3 linked regions of the Notamacropus eugenii genome follow. The protein of the gene in region 3 purifies or fractionates together with the protein of the main gene of each other region. This does not show direct contact. Links are inferred from orthologs where the notes say so. Each region holds a gene or a part of one and is shown on either strand. Other genes may lie near its edges.

Region 1 (7,147 bases), on a different chromosome or scaffold from region 3:
TTCGATTTTTTCCTTTTCATTAAACAACGTCTGGTGTATGTATATAATATGGCAAATTATTCACTTAAACATTTTAATCTCATTTTGCAATTTCTCTCCTACAATTTCCTCTGGATGGTTTGTTTTATTTCTTAGCACCTCCCTATGTAATATTGTCTCTGAATTTCATTAACAGATTGTTTTAACAGATGTTATAAAAGAACAGACTTAACACCCACTCTTACTATACCCCAGGACACCTCTCTCTAACTAGATACTGACACACAGTTGCATATTGTCACTTTGTTGACTTGCGGCTGGTTTTCTACTCTCCTGTCAGCATCACTTACATCTAAGCCAAGTGATTCAGAAGCTTCTGAGTAAAAAAAAAACAAAAAAACAGACAAAAGAAGAAAAAGGGGAAATTAACAACAAAAGCCAAGAAACAAAGGAAATAAACACAACTAAGGAAAATATTTTCACACACGTGAAAAATCATAGAAAAAACCCAAATATTCAGAACATGAAGCGTATTGGAAGAGAAGTAAAAGATGAAGAAAAACTATCTTATGACATTTCTTCTCATCCTTCGAAGAAGGAGCCTCACTTAAACATCAGCATACATTTAAAAATATCATGCAAAGGAAAAAAATGTATTTTGCAATGTTTTTCAGAACAAGAAATGCAGTTATCAGAAGCCTTTCTGTTGAAACAATCTATGTAGTAAAGCTTTCAAAAATATTTTTGAGGGGTTAAATATAAACTGTTCTGTTCAGTGTTTCTCATAAAGGAGACTGTGAAAAAAGACAGTTGTTAAGAGACAAATACATATTAGGAATTTAAATCTGGACTGGAAGTCACTACTAGAAAAAGTGTCAAAACACATAGCTCACAGCACTCCTGAGAGCAGCAGAACCAGATTAAAATGTAATTGGGAAATATTTTAAAAATAAACAAAATACAATAAAATATAGATTAATATTACATTTTAAACTGTCAACACATGGCCTGCAGGGATCTTTATGTACAAATGAGAGGTATGCACTTCTAGTTGAGTTTCACATTACTTCAGTAGTAGTGTGCTAGGCATTATGTAGAAGATAAAAAAAAAAAGACAACCTTTTCTACTTACAGTGTAGTAATGTATCTGAAAACATTTATAGAAAAATATAAAGCAGCAGTGTTAGATTCTGGTTCCTTGTTTATAAGTGCTAGAACTCCAAGGAGGAAAAAAATCTGACTCTACCCTATGAAGTTGGGGGAGGTGGGACATGTGTGTGCTGTGAGAAGTATTTCCTTATCCTTCAAAGTGTAATAGAGATGGGAACTCTCTGATCACTGTTCTCAATTCCTGTATCCCAAGGTGGTCCACAGCTACAAGTAGCAGCTCAGTACTTCCTAATATGCTCCTTTCTCTCCCTTACTGTGATACTACTGGGCGAAACTTTCCTTTTTTCAGATCTTTTTCTCCAGTCAATTCTGGCTGGTTTGAATGTCAAGATCCCTCAATGAATTCCTAAATAAATTTCAATAGCTCCACCCTTAATCCTCTCCACTCCTCTCCTTCTCTCTCCTTCCCCGCCCCACCCCCCCAACCCCAGTGGTACATGGTCAAGTTGCTCCAGATTTATTTTGTACAAAGTGTACTGTAGGCAAACTAATGAAATAAGTATCCATTCCTCCAGTGTCTCCAATCATCCCTTCCTGTGTCCTTCCCTCCTTTGGGTCCTTTCCCCATTTCTCCCCAGGGTATCAATATTCTTCTGACAGTTACTTCATTTAGAAAGGAAATTTACCTAAAAAACAAATTCATATTATGCTGTTAGGAATTTAATATTACCTTTCTCAAAGGTATTTTCATTAAAAAGGGGAGAAAGGAATGTAGAGGGTAAAGCTTAAACCACTTGAATGAATCAAATGCTGTTGTAATTTCAGATGGATGTATAAAGACTTTCTGGTAACGTTTAACAACTGGCTCAAAAAATTGGAGTGCTTTAAAAAGCACTTTTAAATTTAGTCTGCATAATTATCATTTTCTTCTACAAAATTAACAAAATAATGAATTATACTCAATGTGTAGCATTTGATGATTTTTGAAGTGTGACTGCTCACATTGAAAATTTAACAATTAGTTCTCAGAGCCTAGGAGATGGGTCAAGTATTCCTCCTCCTTACCAAAAGACAACTGCTTATTTTGCCCATGCACACACTCCTTCTTACCAATGAGTTACTCTTTTTAGCTTTTACTGCTAATGGAAAAATATCCTTTGCTATATAAAGAGACTAAAAGTTTCTTTCAAGAATTTATTGGAAAATTTGGAAGAAACGTTATGCAAAGAAACTTTAAGGATAAGTAATTTTCCCTCAACTAAGTAATGCCACAACCCTCCTGTACCTTTAGTGACTGTAGCAGAAAAATTCATTTGCCTACGCCAACTAGGTGATGAGCTTCCTCAAAATTGGCTAGGCTAGTCCTTGCACAGTACATACAGTCAAATAGGGTCCTTACTCTAAGCCTTTCCAGCGTGGTAAGACCTGCTAGAACTTGTGATATCTGGCATAGTGTTCAAGACCCTCTCCATGCCAGGATGAGGCATGGGAGAACTTTGGTGGTGGTATGCACAGATATCTTTCACTATTAGTTCCTCTGGCCTGTTTCAGCTTGCAGAGGTTGCCGATTTTCAGTCTTCTAATTGTCTGTCCTGGCACATTCAATAGAATGGTGCCTGCCTAGAACTCTTTGGGGCAGGGGTTAAGACAATCAGTTCTTTAGTTTAGTTTTAAGTATTTTGCTTCCTTCCCTGGATCAGACCACCGTGGTTACTTGTCTTAATTAACCTGATGAGAAAAGGCACAAAGAAACCGAGCACCCTAGACTAAGAAAGAAAAGCATTAAGTCAGTCAACCAGCCGATAAGCATTTATTAAGCTGATACAATGTGTCAGGTAGTGTGGATACAATGAAGCTAGGAAAAGATTAAGCGATTTTACTGCCCAAGGTCACAAAGGCAACGGGTGTTTTCTCTTGGGTGCTCTTTCCACCTTTTTAATGTTTTTTTGATCTTTTCAGATCCTATCCCAAGAGCACGGTTTCCGCCTCCTGACTTCCTTTAAGTTACAGCTAAAAACTTCTGTGGGCAGCTTTCCCCCATCCTCTTTAATTCAAGGCAGGCTTCCCCATTTGTACAGTTATTTGTACATGGTTCCCACCTTTCGACGGTGACTTCCTCGACAGCAGGAGCTGCCTTTCACTTTTCTGCATCACCAGCGCTTAGCTTACAGTGGGTGCCTAATAAATGTGTATTTACTGACGGACTTCTAAGCTCTTCCTTTTGGGCTTCTGGTTATTAAGAGTATTTAGGAGCCCGAGGGAAGGGTCTGGCAGCCCATTTAACAGCTCGCTCCGAGGGCCGCCAGGAGACCCCCTGGGTGTGGCTCACTTCACGCCCGCTGGGTAGTCTAGGAGCGCCCCATCCCCAAACCAGGAATCCCCTGGAGCGCATCCTCTCCGGTCCCCGCCCCCTCCAGCCAGCAGCCAGCAGCCAGCTCCGGGACCGGACCGGGCGGCTGGGCTGGCCGAGGAGCACAGGGGAAGTCTGGGAACAAAGCGACTCGTGGGCCGCGGGAGCATTTGAACAATGCCTCTGGAGGCGCGCGCGCCGCCGCCGCGAACCAGGCGGACAATTCAGTGGCCGCCCGCCACGCGCCCGGCTGGCAGGAGTGGGGGCCGAGCCGCGAACGCGCGCGCGCCCACCTCTTCCTTCCCTCTCCTCCCCCGCCCCTTCCTTTTCCTCCTCCATCAGCCCTACTCCCGGACTCTCCCCGCGCCCAAAGCTTTCCCAGGGCGCGCCTGCGCACAAGCGGCCCTCTGCTTTTCTTTTTTTTCTTCTCCCCCTCCTCCCCCCTTCCCTTTCTTTCCCCCTCCGGCCTCCCCTCCCCGTCACCCTTTCTCCTCTCTGTAGTTCCTCTCACTGCGAGCTCCAGGTCGGGAATCGCGACTCGGGCTGTGCTCCGCGCGGTCTCCCGCCCCCACCCCCTCCCTCCCTCCTCTCCTCCCCGGCCCTCCCTCCTCCTCCGGCCCCGTGGAGGATGAAGCCGCGGCGGCAGCGGCAGCAGCGCCAGCGGCGGCGGCGGCTGCTGCGGTGGGGGTGGCCGGGACTGGGGCGGTGAAGAGGCGGCCGCGGTGGCGGTGGTGGCGGCGGCGGCCCCGGCTCGCTTCCCCTTCTTCCCGTGCTCCTTAGTTAGTTACCGAGCCGGGAAGTTTTCTTTTGTGTGCGTGTGTGAGTGTGTGAGTGCGAGTGCGCGCGCGCCTTCGGACGGTCTGCGCGGGGGCGTGTGCGCGCCTCGGCCGGGCCGGGGTCGCGGGCGGGTGTTTTTTCCCCTCCTCTCTTTCCGTAGCCGGTCAGGGCCGTTCCGGGGCGCCCGGGCTGCAGCCCCAGGGGCTCCTCGGGCCGGAGGGCGGGCGGGCTCCGGCCTTTTGTTGTTGTTTCCTCCGCGGCCCGGGGAGCTGAGGGGGGGGCCCGCCGGGGAGGGGCGGCCAGGACCCGGGGCCCTGTGGCCCCCGGGGCTCCCGGACGGGCAGGGCCAGGCAGGGCAGGGCCGAGCGGGCTCCAACATGATGGCGGCCGAGGCGGCCGGGAGTGAGGAGGGCGGTCCGGCGACCGCAGGGGCGGGAGGCGGCGGAGGCGGCCCGGCCTCGGCCGCCGACCCCGGCCCTTGCGCCACGGTGTGTCGGGTCAGGACCCCTGCGGCCCTGCCCTGTCCGGTGCCCTCCTGCCCGGGCCCGGCGCCCGGGCTGGGGGGCCCCGCTTTGTGCTCGGCTCTGGGAGCCGGGCCTGGGGCGGGAGGGGTCCCCGCCGCCGCGGCCGGCCCCCAGGGGGACGCCGCCCCCTCCAAGGGTGCCCCCGTGCCCGCCGACGCCCCCGGCCCGGGGGGCTTCCCGCCTCTGCCGCCGCCGCCGCCGCAGCAGCTGCCCGCCCTCCTAGGCGGGGGCCCGGGGACCGTGGACGAAGGCGACTCCCTGGACGGACCCGAGTACGAGGAGGAGGAGGTGGCCATCCCTCTGAACGCGCCCCCGACCAACCAGTGAGTCCGGAGCCGGGCGGGTGGGGGAGGCCGGGGTCGTCCTTCCTGAGGGGTCGCCCCCCCGGACTGGTCTGGAAACCGACCGTTTGGGGGGGACCCTGCGGGCGTGCTCCCCGCGCCTGGTGCCTTTAGGATGAGCCCTTGGGGAAGGCGCAGAGTTTGGGGAGATGCCCGCAGGGCAGCACGGCCCCCGGGTGGGAAGCGGGTCAGTGGGGCTGCTGGACCAACTGCCTGGGTGAAAGGGTGCCAACCCAAACTTGTGGGCGAGCGAGGCGGGGAAGGGCTTTGCAGTTTTGGGAGAAGAGGAATAATTTCAGGAAGCAGTGCCTCCCATTCGTGGTAGGGGATTCAGAGTTTTGAGTTATTACAGCTTTTTTTCCTTCCCAAATACTGTTCTTTTACTGAGACACCCATTCAGTACAGTACTTGTTGAATTGGGAAGAAAGGGAGAAAAGTTTATGCTTCCTTTCGTCGTATTGATAGCTTGCAATATTCCAGTAATCACCTGAAAATTAAATTCGCAATCCCAGGAGAATCTGTTTTTATGGGTGGTACTGCTACTGTATGGAGTGAGCAGTATTAATTTAATTGCTTCATCAAATGATACTGTTTGGATCCTGAGTTTAAAGAGATGTGGGACTTGGGGTTAGAGAAGAAAACTTCAGAAGGAGTGTAACCCTGGCATTCTAAACATTTTTATGACACTTCTCTGTTAGTTTAAATGGAGGCTTTGAATCATACTAGGCTTAATGTGTGACAGAACCAGAAAGATTTAAGTTAAAAATCTGTGCAGGGAAATAATTGGAACACATGACTTACGATATTTTGATTTTAAGCTACTTTAGAAGAGTTTAAGTGGATTATTCTTAAAATTAATTAGGAAAATATGCTGTAATGCTCAACACAGTAAAGCAGGATTCTTTTGATCTTTTTTTGTCAGTGCCCATTCTGATTTTTAGAGCAGAAATATAGAATTAAATTCTATTTATAAAGCCAGGACAAAAAGTTGTATTTCTGATGACCCAGTCCAGAGTGCAGTATTAAGATCAAATTTTATGATTTTAGGATAGCAGGTATGTGTTCCAAATTTGAGTGGTAGGAATAATAACCCTAATTTCAACCTTCTTTTACAATTAAAAACTTTTTCCTGTCCGAATATAATGTTTACCATTTTTTATCAAAAATAAGAAGTGTTTTTTGTACTGTATGACTAGTCTGCTGGATCACCATAGATTTAAGTTGTCAGTTTCATATCTTTAGTAGTCTTAACAGCCCAAACATACTAAGAGATGAAAATTAACAGTAGAAAACTGAGTTTGCAAAGGACTATTTTTTTGTCATGAATATGTATAATTTGAAAAGGCAATAGTTAAATGATGCTGAGTCTCTGGAAGAAAATTTACACTCTTTTGAACATCATCTATTCCCTCAGAGATTTTTGCAGTCCTCACTGAGTGTTGTAAAAATAGGTTATTTGGGGGCTGTTTTTGAAAATATTATGAAAGTTGTATTAATTTTCTTAACTATGTGTCAGATTGTAGCGACATTAAGCATTGTTTTTAAGATAGGCTAATAATTTTGTAGAATGATAGGAACTTGCTAAAAATTCACATGGTAAATAGTTTCAAGAAATGAGCTCACTTCTTGTGAGAATTTTAATAACACTAACGTTTGGCAAAATTTTTACTTTAAAAACAAAAATGTGAACTTGTAATAATAGCCTGCACTTATACAGCATTTTAAGATTTACAAAATGCTTTCTTTACAGTTGAGGTAGGTGCTCAGATATTTATTGGTCAGATGTTATTTTGTTTGTGTAAGTCTTACTATTTCTGAAATAAGCCATGTTTTAATATAGTCTGTAGTTGATTTAGTAAAATAGAATAATGAGCTGGAATCTTAGCTTATTATGCTATTGTCGTTCATGCCTCTGACCTGGTCAGGGTGTGGGACCTCCTTTGAGATAAAAAGATATTTTTGTAGCTGTACCCCATTGGAAGGGAAAACCAAGCAGCTCTTATGTAAAATATTGCTGTCTACATTAATATTTAGACTTCTCACCGGATTTAACTTTTTTGTGCTTA
Region 2 (7,797 bases), on a different chromosome or scaffold from region 3:
TATATCTAATAAAGGGTTTTGATGATGACGACGTCTTACCTTGCAACATTTATAACATACTGGGTGCCATACTAGCAAAGCATTTGACACACAGAGAGAAAAACATTCCATACAGAAATTTTTAGTCATTGACTTATTAGAGTGTTAATTAATAAAATTACCTTAGATTCATAGATGGTACTTTGAAGTCTTTAAAAATCAGTAATGGCTAAATTAGGAAGTAGGAATGGTACTTTAGAAGATGAAGTTAGGAAGGTTAACTGGACCTGTCCAAATCATCAAAATCCATATTGGAGGCTGCACAACTTTGAGGGCCTTGAGGGATCATTTAGTAAGTTTTATTAGGGAGGGGAAGATGCCAAAAAGAATGGACAGAATTACCACCTCAAAAAAGTGATCAAGAGGGCATCGGGAACTACTCACCCATATTCCTACTTTATCTTCTTCATAACACAGTTATGAGAATGAGCAACATTTTTGTCCAGGGTAAAACTAGATGAAAATATGAGACAGAAATCCAGTCTTTCATGATTTTCTATAGCATAATGAATGAATAAATGAATTCACATAAATGAATAAAGGAACTTATTGAGAATTTACTAGTTAAGTCAACAATTACTTATTTTTAAATCATATTTTGTTTCCCCCAATTATATATAAAAACAATTAAAATGGCTTTTTAAAAGTTTTGACATTCTAAATTCTGTCCCTCCCTCCCTTCTTCTCTCCCTGAGATGGTAAGCAATCTGATACAGGTTATACATGTGCAATCACATAAAACCTATTTCCATATTAGTCATTTTGTGAAAAGGAAGAAAGGAAGGAAGGAACAAAAGAAAGAAGGAAAGAGAAAAACGGTATGTTTTAGCCTATATTCAGACACCATCAGTTATTTCTCTGGAGGCAAATAGCATTTTTTATCTTGGGTCTTTTGGAGTTGTCTTGGATCATTGTATTGCTGAAAATAGTCATCCACAATTTCAATAATCATTTATTAAACACCTGCTATGTGCATGGCATTCTACTAAGGGCTGAGGATACAAAGAAAGGCAAAAGACAGTCTTTGTTCTCAAGAAGATCATAATCTAATTCAAGAGAAAACACGCAAATAACTATACAAAATAGAGGCAGTTGGTAGCTCTGTGGATAGAGCTCTGGGCCTGGAGTCAGGAAGACCTGAGTTCAAATCCAGCCTCAGATACTTCCTAGCTGTGTGACTCTGGGCAAATCACTTATTCTCTGATTGCCAGACAAAACAGATTCATTGGAAAAGGAAATTGCAAACCACTCCAGTGTCTTTGCCAAGAAAACCCTAAATGGAATCAGGAAAGGTCAGACGAGATTGGACAACATGTATAAAACAAGGTATGTAAAGGATAAATTGAAGACAACCCCAAAGGGAAGGCACTAGCATTAAGGAGGATCTGGAAAGACTTCTTGCGTAAGGTTAGATTTGAGCTTAGACCTGAAGGAAGTCAGAATACTGAGAAAAGAAGGGATACAATTCTGGATAGTAAAAATGAGTGGAGTCTAGAGATGAGAGGAAGGCTTGCGAAAGAAGTAAATTAGGAAGGAAGCCAGTGTTATTGGATATCAGAGTACATGGGAGTAAGGTAGACTGGAAAGAGAGGAAAGGACCAGGTTCTGAAGGACTTTCAAAGCCAAGCAGAATTTTTTATTTGATCCTGGAGATAATAGGGAGCCCACTAAATTTATCAAATGGGATGGTGACATGGTCAGACCTGTGCTCAAAGAATTGTGCTAAGGAGTAGCAATACAAATAGAAAACACAGTACCTCCTCTCAAAGAATTCAACATTCTACCTGGGTTTGACAACACACAAAGGAGGCTTTAACTGCAAGTCAATGGAAAGGTCCTATTGTTCCTAAGAAACAGCAGTAAAGAAGATGATAATGCATCATCTTTAATGACATTTCTCCACTAATAAAATAATCCAGAGTTCCTTCAGTATTTGATCCACTCATCTGAACCACCTAAAACACTCAAGAAGAATCCAAATACTTTTGAGGAAGGCAGTAAATAGGATTTTTAAGGTGTTAAAGGAAATAAGACAGAATGCCCTCTTGATGGCAGCTTGTCAATAGGTACTTTGGATGGCATATTCAGTGTGGTATGAAACAAAATGTTGACTTAACAGTCAAAGGACTGGAATCTGACTTATTACCTAGGTAACCTTTGGAAAAGGACTTAAAATCTCTGAGACTCAGTTTCCTCATCTGTAAAATGAAGGGATTTGATCAGATGATCTCTAAAATCAGCTTTAAAGCTATGACTGTATGATCTCTTGGTTGATTGGTTATTGTCCTTCATTCTCGAAGAGGATCAAAATAACATCACCATAATAAAGTGAAATTTCAGTGTGTCAGACTGTGGCTGATCAGACCAATATGAGCTTGGAATGCTCTACCACAGGCTGGGCACAGATAGTCTGTATGAATATTTGGGGTGGATATTCCAAATTTGTACATCCTATGTTTACTTTGTGCTATTTCAATTCTGCTTTGCTCATAGAGCACAGCAACCTTTCTGATGTGGGCATGCTATGCTGAGTGGTCCTGTGCCAGTGTCTCCCATGTTGCACAGTCAAATCCAAAGTTCTTGAGAGAGACCTTGACAGTGTCCTTGTATCACTTCTTCTGGCTACCATGTGATCGCCTGCCCCATACAAGTTCTCCATAAAATAGTCTTTTGGGCAAGTGTACATTTTGCATTCGACCAACATGCCCAGCCCATCAGAGCTCACTCTCTGAAGCATAATTTGAATACTTGTCAGTTCAGCTTGAGCAAGGACTTCAGTGTCTGGTACCTTACCCTGCCAGGTAATCCTCAGAATTTTCCTAAGACAGTTCAAATGGAAGAGATTCAGTTTCCTGGCATGGTGCTGGTAGACTGTCCATGTTTCATTTTTAAAAGACAGACTTGTAGAACAAGTGGGAACAACCCATAGACAGAGAAAATTAACAGTAGCTAGCTGAGAAATTTGAGGTACTTGAAGTATTTTCAAAAGGATCCCTGCTTATCCTTTGGATAAATGTCAATATCTTCTCTAAGACAGTGTATCAGAGTCTTCTTTTTCTTCTTGTAGGTATTTTTAAGGGGACCAAATGAAACAGTGTTCTATGGCAATGTTATTATGTTCTGATTTGTCTTTATACAAATATTAGTCAGTGTGGTGCAGTGGCTTTGGAGTCAGAGGACCTCTGCCATTTACTTACTTGGTGACCTTGGGCAAGTCACTAATCTTTTCTTAGCCTTGGTTCTCTCATCTGTAAAAAGAGAGGACTGAAGAATAGGGTCCCTTAAGCCCCTTACAACTCTAAAACTATGAGTAGGTCCTCCTTACTCTATTGTAAACCCATCAAATCTGTGCCAGAGAAGGCAGACAGTAATAACTGAGATGCATTCCTTTCTCTCTGAGTTATGCCATTAGAATTAAAGCTTATTTGGAGCGGAGAGGGGTTTCCTTGCACAAAGCATTAAGTGCAATTTGTTATTATTAAATGAACGAATTTTAGTTAAGCCTCAAAGTGAAACTCTCAGATAAAGAGAAATCAATTATAAAGAAAATCAGGAAGGCAAAATTTTACTTTTCATGTAGATATATCTCATCATACAAAAGTTGGATGACAGGAAATAGACTGATTTATCCCCCAAATGGTGTATCCCATCCACCAAAAAAAAAAAAATTTTTTTTTAACTACAGAACATGCATCGGAGGGCAAAGGAGTGGGAAGCTTGAATGTCACCCGAAACCAAAGACAACATTTGGAGAGACAATCCCCGGCTACTATTACACATGATTTTGAAAAAATGTGCAAACATAAGCTTCTACCCTATCATTATGGTATGCACACACTTGAATATCTCTTCTTTCCACGCAGCTCTAATCTAATCACCACCAGGCTTGACCACTTTGGGGGTGGGAGGAATCCTTTCTAGAAAAAAAAAAAACCTTTGAATCTTTTTCTTTTATATAGATTTCCCCAATTTCTATCTTGGGGAGAGTACCCCCCCACACACACACACACCTTCTTCAGACTGTGTAGGGAGCACACAGCTCTCAGAACGCTTCGCTGAGCACCCTAACACTTTATAACCTTGTCCTCCCACCCCTGAAACACTGTAACACCAGGAGGGCAAGCCGCTACTTTGTTAAACAGGTTTCCATGGTTTTAAGGGTGGCAGGGGATGGGGAAATGCTAAAACTGTACTGAAAGGAGTGTTGAAGAACCAAAAGAGAAAGACTCGTAACCCTTAAAGACTGAACTGGACGCAGCACACTTTACCCACTCCTCAATTTTTTGCTAAAAAAAAAAAATTCTCCATAAGCCTTACTGCTCACACAGCCCACTCCGCGAACTCAAATCCTCCTTGTCCCCATCGGGATGCCCGCTGACACCCTGAAGCACACCACCAGCTCCCGGGCCCGCCCACTCCCGCCCCCGCCCCCGCGGCCGGGTCCAATGACGGCCGCTCTTGGGGGCTAGGCCTCCGGTGATAGGCTTGCAGGGCCTGCCGCTCTCAAGATGCGGCCCTCCCCCTTTCTCCGCCCTTCCCCTCCCTTTTTTCTTTCTCTCCCTTCCCCAAGCTGGAGGGGCCGGAGCATCAGGGGGAGTAGCCCAGCCGGGAGAGCAGCCGCGGCGTAGTTGCAGTTGCGCCATCTGTCAGGAGCGGGCCAGGGAGGAGGGGGAGGAGAAGGAGGAAGAGGAGGAGGAGAGGGAGAAGGAGAAGAAGGAGAGGGTGGAGGAGAAGGAGGAGGAGGAGGAGGAGAGGGAGAAGGAGGAAGGCTCAAGGCTCGCTGTGCAGAGGAGCAGCCGCGCGAGGAGAGGGGAGGCCACGGCCCCTTAGAGCCCCCTCCTTCCCTTGCCAGCCGGGGCGGCGCAGCGCTTAGCTCCCGGGGTGGTGGGGGTGGCTTGCGGAGCGCCCGCACCGAAGCCGCCGCCTCCCAGAGCGGCAGCTGGTACCCGGAGGGAGCCGGCCGCCGGGGCTGGGGGGGGAGAGACCCTGGCGCTGTCCTCCTCCCGCTTCTCCTGCTCCTCCTGCGCCCGCCCCCTCGGAAGGGTCGCCTGCCTGCCTCCCCGGGAGCCCGCAGAGGAGCGCCGGGAGAAGACCATGTGAATGGGGCTGGGAGCCTCAGGTAAGCGGGGCGGGGGTGGGCGGGGGAGAGGATGCTGCAGCGGCCGCCGCAGCCGCCGGCACCGGCTCCTCCTCCGGACCCCCGCATCTCCGGCCGCGGGGTCGGGCGCCGCGCGGCCGCTGCGGCTCGCCAGCATTCTCCGGACCTGACAGGCGCGCGGCGCGGGCTTCCCTGCACTGCCCCGGCGCGGCGGACCCCCGACCCCAGCTCCTTCCCCACCCCGGGAAGGACTGGACTGGAGCTGGGCTCGGGCTCGGGAGGGAGAAGCGGGTTCCGCCCCTGCTGAGCTGGTGGAGCCCCCCGCCCCCACCCCGGGGGACCCTGGCGGCGTGGGTTGCTCTAATGACAGGGATGATGTAATCATTTAATAATTGATGATTCCCAGTAAGCCGGGGCTTGGCCCCCTGCTGCTCCCCCTCCACCTCTCCATCCTCTCGCGGTCCCTGTAGCTGACGATTTCCCATGCCCATCCTCCTGCGGGCTTCCATCACCTCCCTAAGCGACTTCCCCCACCTTCTTTCCCTTCCCCCAATTTCCCTTTCCTTTGGCTTCCCGCCCTCTTCCGCCTCTCCTTCTGCTCCCCTCAGGCTTTTTCTCCTCCCCCCTCAGCCTCACCCTCTTACCCCTCGCCACCTTCCCCTCAGCCCCCCTGCGTTTCCTCTCTACTTCCCCAGATCATTTGCTGGTTTTTGTCTCCTCCTTTCTCTTATCTTTAAGCCCACAGGCTGAGGGTAGTGAGCCAGAAAGAGGCAACTAAGACTCCTCGCAGGGCGTTTATTTGCTGTGACTAACTGCAAAAAAGGAAGGGAGGAAGGGAGGGGGGCATGATAAAAGTATCCTCCCTTTTCTTTCCCTCAAATCAATCTCACAGGCTGTGTGTGTGTGTGTGTGTGTGTGTGTGTGTGTGTGTGTGTGTGTGTGTGTGTGTGTGTGTGTCACACAAAGGGTCCTTTCAGTTCCTAGAGAAGAGACACACAAAATACCCAAGAATGGTGGGGTTTCCTGCTTGTTTCTTTTCCCTGGGGCTTCCCTTTCTCTTTCCACAGGAGGCAGGAGATCTTCTCTCTCACATCCCCTTTCCTGCCACATTTGGGGGAAAGATAAAGGGCACCAAATGCCCATTTGTGGGCATTTAATAACGTCCCAGGAACTGTAGGGGATTTGGAAGTGGACTATTTTCTCATGGTTGTTATTGGTGTGTGTGTGTGTGTGTGTGTGTGTGTGTGTGTGTGTGTGTGTGTGTGTGTGTGTGTGTTTAAAGGTTTCAGCAGCTTAGAGAAGTTTCCTTTCAGCGTTAGATGGCTTCTTTCCTGACTCCGTTTTGTGGGGAGGGTGCTAGGGGCCTGGAGTTAGGGCTATGTTGGTGTGTTGAAGGAGTAGTTTACTCATGAATCAGAGAATGATATTAATGGGTTGATCCATTTCTTAGTGATAGGGGAGGGAACTGAGTGAGAGAGAACTGAGCCTCCAGAAAGACTTCATTTCTTTCCAATCAAGTATAAGCAGAGACTTTTGTTATGGAATCTCTTTTTTATGTTTTCTCTGTCGATGTTGGTGTCGCTTTGTATTTAAGTACTCAGAACCATTATGAAGGCAACAAGACTTGAGTGCCTCTGGAAATACTTCTGGAAACCTTGTCCCTTTCCTGCCTCTGTCTAGCCTTCTTTACTCCCACATCCTTCCTCTCACTACTTGTGTATTTTCTACTCTTTGTGTTCTAACCCTTTCACCCCTAGATCCTGCCCCATGTATCCCCAGTATTCAGGTGAAGATTGTTGGGTTCAGAAACTCTCAGAGGAAGTGGTTTTGTTAAATATCTAAAACTTGGAGGCAAGACTGGCTGCAACCTATAGAAGTTTCTATGTATCTTCTGTCAGAACCCTAAACCATCTCTCTCATGACACTCTCTAGGAAAGAGGTCCTTAATCTGTGAACTTTTTTTTTTTATATTTTGACAACTATTTCAAAATAATTGATTTTCTTTGTAATTCAATAGGTTTTATTTTATATATTTAATAACATTATTCTGAGAAAGAAACCATGGGCAGTATATGATAAAAAAGAAAGGGAAGAATGTCACAGCATGTGTGTGTGTGTGTGTGTGTGTGTGTGTGTGTGTGTGTGTGTGTGTGTGTGTGTGTGTGAGAGAGAGAGAGAGAGAGAGAGAGAGAGAGAGAGAGAGATACAGATACAGATACAGATACAGATACAGATACAGATACAGATACAGATACAGAAACAGATACTCTTGCTCTAGGAAGAAATGTAAAGTTGGGTGCATTGTATGCCAATTCCATAATGGCTAAACTTGAGTATTAAGAGTCTGGTACCAAACCAATACAAATGTGGGGCAATGTCTCCCAAGTTAATTCTGAAAGAATACTTTTTTTTTTTTTAAATAAAAGCTTTGTTAGAATTGAGATCCCATCCGTGCATATTTGAATTTTAGAAGCCTTTCATTGTAAGAACTTTTTATTTGGAAAAAGTAATGTGGTTAACGGGGTTACTTCTGAAAACAAAGGATGGTTTGTTTTTAGACTCTAGAAGGGCAGTCAATGCGCTTTAAGCTTAAACTCTGTTGTCTAACCAAAAGTGGCTTCATGGACAAAATTGAATTTGAACAAAACCCCCATGCTTTG
Region 3 (7,526 bases):
ATAGTGTACTCAGATATTAACATTATTTCTGTTTCTTCCTTCATCTTCAGCAAACTGTTCTGGACCATGATTCTTTGCTCTGGTTCCTAGATTTCCTCACAGAACTATGTCTTAAGATATGATGCTACTGTCTCATCCTTCTCCTTCACCTTCATCTTTGCCTATCCTGTTTCTTTAGAATAAAATATGCCTATCCAGTGTATTATTATAGACATAGGTCTCATCGTCCCGCATCTCAGTAGTAACTATAAGATCACATATGCCTCTTTGAATTAGGGTGTTTAGTTAATCATTTTTTTTAACCTACACTTTGTGTATTTATGTATAGCCAATGAAAGCAATGGGGTTTTGTTACTGGCTCCTTTTGGGGATTTTTGTCTCCTATGAATTTCTGAAAATGTCTACATCTGTTTTTCTACTTGTACTGTAACTACTATCTATCTATCTATGCTGGTAGATATATGTACTTTCCTCCTTGTTGGTTCATTTAAATTTCTTTTCATTAGATTTGCTAGACTGCATACAAATATGGTGTTATTAACCTATGTTAGGTGCTCAATCATTTTCATATTTTATATGGCTGGACAGAAATTCAGTTCTCATTCTTGAATACCACCTTCTTAACCAGTTGTTCACTACCCCAGTCTGCCAAACGCTAAAGTTCTTGCCTTCTGTGAGCAGCAATGAAGAGAGAAGGAAAGAAAGAAAGAGAGAGAGGGAGGGAGGGAAGAAAAAAGGAAAGGAGGGATGGAGGGAAGAAGGAAAGAAGGAAGGGAAGGAGGGAGGGAGGGAGGAAGGAAGGAAGAACTCACCTGTGCCTCTTAGGTCTTCAGTGTTGTCCATGATTTTGTAATCTTGAGGAATAATTTCTAGGTACCTTATGGTGATATAATTTCTAATCTTGTGAATTATTAGGAGTGGGTAGTAAGCATGTGGAATGGCAAACTTTGGGAGAGTCCCTGTCAAGTCTTGGATATATGTGTTAGGAAGACAGGAGATCTCTCTATTATTGTTATTAGGTTGACAGGTGACTCTGATGAAGGGAATCACCAGCCACTTTTTGTCCCATCTTCCACTGACCCTTACTGGATGATCTTTCATTTGATAGCTTTTATACACACACTCCCATGTTGTCATTCCCTGGAGGACTAGCAGCTGCTTCCTCTTCAGGTAGACCTCTCCCTCTTCCTCAAAAAATTCATAGGATTTAGCTAGCTAGTATTCGTAGAACACTTTAAGATTTGCAAAGGACTTCTACAAATATTTTGTTTTATTTTTATGACAACCCTGGGAGATAGGTGTTATTATTATTTCATTGCACAGATGCAGAAACTGAGGTGGACAATGGTTAAGTGACTTCCCCAGGGTCACACAGCTAGTAAATGACTAAATCTGGTTTTGAACCCAGAGTTTCCTTACTCTTTGCCTGGTACTCTAGACACTGAACCACCTAGCTGCACCAGTAAGTCTTAAAGAAGTCTTAAGCTTGTGCAAACCAGGCTTCATTTTGTCTTATCCACTTTTTAGAAATGTTTTCCTAATCCATTTATTCCAAATATTTGGTGGATCTTCCCTCTCTCTTCTGTGTGATCTTCTTCTACGCTCCAACTTCCTACCATCCCAGTTTCTTTAGGTTCTGCATTTCCTTTACTTTTGACATTGCTTTGTGTGTTTAATTTCAATTTCTGTTATTTTTTTTAAGGGATAGTACTATCTTTGAGGACCCATAGAGTGGAGCGGCACTCTTTATGCCTTTTTACCCTGTATTCCAGAAGTGAAAGTAGCCTAGACCTTGGACAGAGATAGCAATCATTTGGTTGAGACAGAAATATAGACATGGCTCTCAATGCAAGTCACTACAAATGTTCCCCTGTTCACCATATTGACTGGAAGTGACGATCCCCAGTATTTGTCTTTTTGCTGGTAACTCCTTCAGAGAGCTTCAGTAGCAAAGTCTTCTGAGGGTCTTTAACTCTAAACTTCTCTCTCTCCTCACCTCATTAGAACCTTGTTAGCACCTTGACACCTACATTAAACTTTCTCCCCTTCCCTCCTGGTCTGAACCAAGTTGTAACACTAACCTTGCCCTACCAATTACCTTCTTCCTCCTCCTCCTTGTTCTTCAGCTTGTCTTTGACTTCTTGACTTTCTCCACCTTCAGCTCAACTCTATCATCTCTTCCCTTTGCCTGAGTCCTTCTCTTCCTTCAACCTCTCTTCAAGTCTTTCTAAATTTCCACCTTGTAAAGTCAAACTTTCTTCACAATCCCATAGCCCTTCAAAATGCCTTCCAAGTCGTCTTACTCTTGCTTCTTTTCCCACAAATTTCTCCCATGGAAGCCAATCCCTGTTGATGTCTGGCCCATGGCTGGAATGGAAGCATCTCTGACATCCCAGTCTGATACCAGGAAGAGAGCTTCATCTGTTGGATCTTATTTGGGCATTTAGAGCATTGCAGCAGGACATTCCTCTAGAGCTTCATTGACTGTAAAGGTCTCTATGTGGAACCCATACTGAAAGAGGAATAGGGAGGGGTCTTTGTGGCAGTGAGCACTATCTCATGGGACCCTCCCTCCCTGAGAGTTATCGAGGTAGCCAGCAGAGGGGGGTGCTAGACTTTTTGGAAGTCTGGCTTTAGTGGCCAAAACTGTTGTCTGGGACACAAAATCACATCATCTCAAAACTTGAAGGTATCTCAGAGGTCCCTTAAGTGAGAACACATCTGAAATATAAATCCTTTCAAAAACATCCCTAATCAGTAGTCATTCATATCATATGATAGAGCTGGAAGGAGCCTTAGAAATAACATTATTTTCAAATGCCTCATTTTAGAGATGAGGAAATAGGGACCCAAAGAAGGGAAATGATTTATAATAGCTAGCATTTATCTAATGTATAATCTCATTTGATTCTCACAACAAACCTATGGAGAAAATGTTGTTAATAATGTGTTTTGTAAATGAAGAAACTGAGCGAGGGATAGGTTAAGTGACTTGACCTGGGTCACACAGCTACTAAATATGGACTCATACTCAGGTCTTCCTGTCTGCAAGCCAGGAAATGTTCTAAGCATTGCACTACTTGGTGGCTGCTAGCCTTCGCCTATGGTCACATAGTAAGGTTAAGAGCAGGGCCAGGACTAAATATCTAGTAATGTTCTTTCCATTTTACCACACTGTCTCTTTCCTTTTCTATGACCAAAACAATCACATCCTTTCTCTTCCAGCTATTAAGGTGTCTGCTCCCCTCTCTCACTTGTTTGGAATCTTCTCCATCTCTGAGGATTTCTCGGACATCTCTGAGACTGACGGGATATGTCACCTACTTTGCATCCCACAAAATTGGCTCAAATTCTAAACTCTTCCTTTCATCCAAAATTCCTAGGTCTGAAGGACCTGAATCCTATGCCATAGTTCACTGTTTCCTCACTACTTCCCACCTCACCGTCTGACCAACTAGTGCCTGCATACAGAGGACTAGTCTTATGCTTAGAGATTCATGGGGTTGGGGAGTAAGATCAGGTTGTACTGTCCAAGCAATGGGCACACCAGCAGTGGAGGCCGCAAAGGGTTAATGACTGCTGGGGCTAAGTGACTCCAGATGTGCTGGACCAACCTGTGGTTGATCATGACCAGAAGCCAGGCTACAGCTCTGCTTCCCTCAGCCATCCCCTCCCCTCCCTGGAGATACCCCGAGTCCCCAGTTTCAAAGGAGGCAGGAAGGCCTTGCCCTCTCTGCCATTCCTGCCATGTACACTCTGTCCTTGAATACAATCATAGAATATAGGACCTAGAATTTCAGAACTAGAAGGGAACGTAGAGCAGAGAATGTGAGAACTGGATGGAACTTAGAATGGCCGAGCCGACAGGACCCTTCCAAACCATCTTAGCTCAATCCATTCATTTTGCAGATGGAGAGAATGAGACCCAAAGATTGGGGAGTAACAGGTTACCCCACAACACTGTAAAGCATGATCTCCTGTTTTCCCTTCTTTCCTGGGGACCCTCTCCCAGAGGTACACAGGCGGGCACTGCCTGAGATCCCTCTACCTAGCACAATCCCTGCCACGATTGCCAGGTGATCGACAGATTGCCAATCTATGACCCTACCTTACCGTCAGCAGCAGAGCCCCCAGACCCTATTGCCCAGTCTGGGGAGAGGAGAGGGGAGGGGAGTCACCACCCTGGGCAGAATGGGCTGGCCTCTCTTAATACAAATGACTCAGCTGCTGGCGTGGGCTGTGGAATTTCTAAACATCCCCTCATATCCTGAGAAAGAGGGAGAAGGCAGAGAGTGAAGGGAAAACAGAAAGAAAAACAAGAAACTCAGGGGAAAAAGACCAAATTGAAAACAGACACACGCACACACACACTCCTCTCTCTCCCTCCCTCTCACGCTCCCTGCCTGCCTGCCTGCCTCCCTCCCTCCCTCCCTCCCTCTCACACACCCTCTCTCACTCAAAGAGACCAATCAAAGGGACCTCTTCGGCCTTTCCCCCCAAGTTGTAGGAGACAGAGCTTTCTCTCTCACTCAGAGTTGTCTCAGCCTCTTACTGCTTCCACCTCTGCCTGAGGCCTGGGTACCCTGAACCTAGCCGCTATCCATCTTCCTCGCCCAGCAGGCCAAGAGACAAGGGGAAACCAAGAGAAAACTTTGTAAGCAGAGAGTGGACCAGGAGGGCTTACCTCTTCCTTTGCCTTCTAACTGTCCTTGATCTCAATCCCTCAGAGGGGCAAACATACAGAAAGACCAAACTAGAAAGGCCCTCCTGAGTCTGGAGATTCCCATAAGGATGCTCTAGAACTGTCTCTGTCCCTCCTGCTGCTGGTCCTTGGACCAACTGCTCCCCCTGTTCTCCAGTCACTCCTGCCTCCTGGAGCTCCATCCACGGGGGCCAAGGGAGGTGAGTTTGGAGACAGACGAGGAAGGGGCAGCATCTGGGGACTCCGCAAAAGTAGGCTGTTTGTGAGCAGGCAGCAAACAAGGCAAAGTCAAGAGAAGACCAAGGCAATAAGGTAGGTGCCTGGGCCCCCAACACTCTCTGCCCCCACCTCACCCCACTTTCAGGGCCCCTTTGTCATGTCTCAGCCACACTTTGGTCAAGTTGAAAATGGAAAATATTTTTAGCGAAACCAGATGGGAGAAGCTCAGAGCAGAGTTGGGAGATGTCAGTTTGCAAAAGAGTTGAATATCCTTTGCCATCCCCATGCTCAGTTGGACCTTCCGCAATCATGCCCACCAGACGGGCCCCTCTTTTCTCCCTTTTCTACCCTGTGCCCCAAGAGCTAGCACCCCGCCCCCCTCCATTCCAGCCCTCATTCACACAAAACCACTGGGTTTTCTGGGCTCCATTCTCCTGGCTCAGTATCTTAACAGCGGAGGGTCTGTTTGCCAGAGCTAGGGGGCGGGGCCTGGGGGGGTAGGGGTGGCTTGAGGGGCCAGAGAATGGGCAGAGTGGGAGGGGGACTTTAAGGATGAAGGCTACTAAGGGTGGGGAGATATTGAGGGCAAGGGGTTGTGAGGGGAGGAAGGATTATGAGGAGAGACAAACCATGAAGGGAGGGGACTCAGAGAAAAGTGGCGCTGAAGGGGGTGGAGTGGTTCGTACTTAAGTGGATCAGACTGGAGATAGAGGACAAAAGTTGTGGGGGAAGGTGGGGAACAGATGGGGGGGGTTGGCGGTTAGGACAAGGGACTAGGGAATGAGGGAATGAGTGTGAGATGGCGCTATAAAATAGGGAATGAGGCATCAGGATCAGCAAACAGAAGATTGGGGACCAGGGTTGGAGAGGGGAGACCTTCAGCCTCAGCCATGAGTCTGCAGCCGTTTTCCCAGAAAGGATTTGGCTTCAGGCCAGTCCCTAGGGCCATCGAAGCCCCGGGGATTTAAAGGGCTTTGCAAATTTTCCAGATTCCTAAGATGTCCTTCCAAACCCCCAGCTGATGGGAAACTGTCAGTTTGTTGTAGCTCTCCTTATGCTGTTAGGGGTGGAGGGGTAAGCGGGGAGGAGAGGAGGGGACAGGAACTGAGCTTGGGCAGCCTATGAATGGAGCTAGGGCTCCAGAGTGTGGGGGGTGGGGATACAGAGGGGGAGGGAACAATAGGAGACCTCCTAAGGAAAGCATTGATCTCTCAGACCTCTCTGCCTTTTTCTAAGGGAAGGGCCTAAGCTAAGAGGGGTCAAGGGTGATAGGAGGACCCTGACAGATCCAGCCCCTCAGTCAATGATAGTTTTTCTAGGTAGCTGTAGGATAATTGGTGTATAAGTTTGTGCAAACCAGGGCATTGCTTCATCCTGTCCAGTCTTTAGAAATATTTCTCTAATTTATCTCTTCTTCACTCCCACAGTCACTATCCAGCCTAGGTCCTCATCCTCTTCTGACAGAATGCATTATTAAAGTGATGTTTTGTGAGTACTTGGAAAAGAAAGCAGTGATTACTATGAGCCAGCATGGGTTCATAAAGAATAAGTCATGCCAGACTAACCTCATTTGCTTTGACAAGGCCATACCCTATACATAGCAGACCTGGATTTCAGCGAGACATTTACTATGGTCTCTCATTCTCTTGTGGAATGTGTTTAGAGTGATTAGATAGAGTAGGCTAGATAGTAGCACAGTTAGGGAAGCTAAGAACTGATCAAATAGCTCGTCCCCACAGTAACTGTTCCAGATCTTTCACTTTTTCCTAACGTCCCCCATGGCAGCCTCAACTCCACACTTATCAGCAGATGACCTAAACTGCTACTTCACTGAGATAGAAACCATCTGAAGTGAACCCCCCAGGACCTTCCTTTGTCCCTTAAAATGCAGCAGCAGCAGCAACCTGCCTCAGCCTGAGCTAAGGCTGGCCTTCTAGCTGGACTCTTGTGAGTACATCATCCCCTCCTGATTCTTCTCTCTTGCTTCTTATCATCCCTTTTCTCATGCCTCTCCAGTCTCCTTCTCCAGGAGCTCTTTCCAATGGGCCTCCGTGTTGATCTCCCCATACCTTAAACAAAAGAGTGTTCCAGTGACCATTTTACTCCCTCTAGTTACTTTCTAACATCTCTCCTCTCCCGCACCGTCAACTTTTTGAAAAAAGTGTCATGTGATGTAGATGCTTGGTGATATGATAGTACTTCCTCACTACTGACCCTCAGTGGCACAGTGGCTAGAGCACCAGGGTGAAAATCAGGAAAGATTTCTCTTTCTAAGTTCAAATCTGGCCTCAGACACTTATGAACCATGTGACCCTGGGCAAGTCACTTTATCCTGTTTGCCTCAGTTTCCTCATCTGTAAAATGAGCTAGAGAAGGAAATGGCAAACTGTTCCATTATCTTTACCAAGAGAACCCCAAATTGGATCACAAAGAGTTGGACAGGACTGAACAACACCACCACCTGTTGTATTTTTAGGTTCTTTCTGTGGCCTCCTCTTGCCTACTAAGTTCAAATTTCTTATCTCATCATTCAGGGCCCTCCATAATCAGGTGCCACTCTACTTTTCCAGATTCATTTAGTGCTATTGCCGGATTCTTTAGTCCA

The links.
Region 1: the proteins of PDGFRB (region 3) and RASA1 purify together in Homo sapiens (co-immunoprecipitation; 5 studies listed by BioGRID and IntAct, with this or other methods). This does not show direct contact. The link is inferred for Notamacropus eugenii from reciprocal best matches to the Homo sapiens genes PDGFRB and RASA1.
Region 2: the proteins of PDGFRB (region 3) and FYN purify together in Homo sapiens (pull-down; 3 studies listed by IntAct, with this or other methods). This does not show direct contact. The link is inferred for Notamacropus eugenii from reciprocal best matches to the Homo sapiens genes PDGFRB and FYN.

What each region holds. Positions count from the first base shown.
Region 1 is NC_092875.1:454,108,866-454,116,012, reverse strand, and holds the start of RASA1 (ras GTPase-activating protein 1), read left to right. Parts: upstream 1-4,096; 5' UTR 4,097-4,593; coding exon 4,594-5,063; intron 5,064-7,147. UniProt on the Homo sapiens protein: Inhibitory regulator of the Ras-cyclic AMP pathway. Stimulates the GTPase of normal but not oncogenic Ras p21; this stimulation may be further increased in the presence of NCK1.
Region 2 is NC_092873.1:192,204,972-192,212,768, reverse strand, and holds the start of FYN (tyrosine-protein kinase Fyn), read left to right. Parts: upstream 1-4,749; 5' UTR 4,750-5,158; intron 5,159-7,797. UniProt on the Homo sapiens protein: Non-receptor tyrosine-protein kinase that plays a role in many biological processes including regulation of cell growth and survival, cell adhesion, integrin-mediated signaling, cytoskeletal remodeling, cell motility, immune response and axon guidance.
Region 3 is NC_092872.1:377,727,984-377,735,509, reverse strand, and holds the start of PDGFRB (platelet-derived growth factor receptor beta), read left to right. Parts: upstream 1-4,444; 5' UTR 4,445-5,014; intron 5,015-6,745; exon of another isoform or gene 6,746-6,868; intron 6,869-7,526. UniProt on the Homo sapiens protein: Tyrosine-protein kinase that acts as a cell-surface receptor for homodimeric PDGFB and PDGFD and for heterodimers formed by PDGFA and PDGFB, and plays an essential role in the regulation of embryonic development, cell proliferation, survival, differentiation, chemotaxis and migration.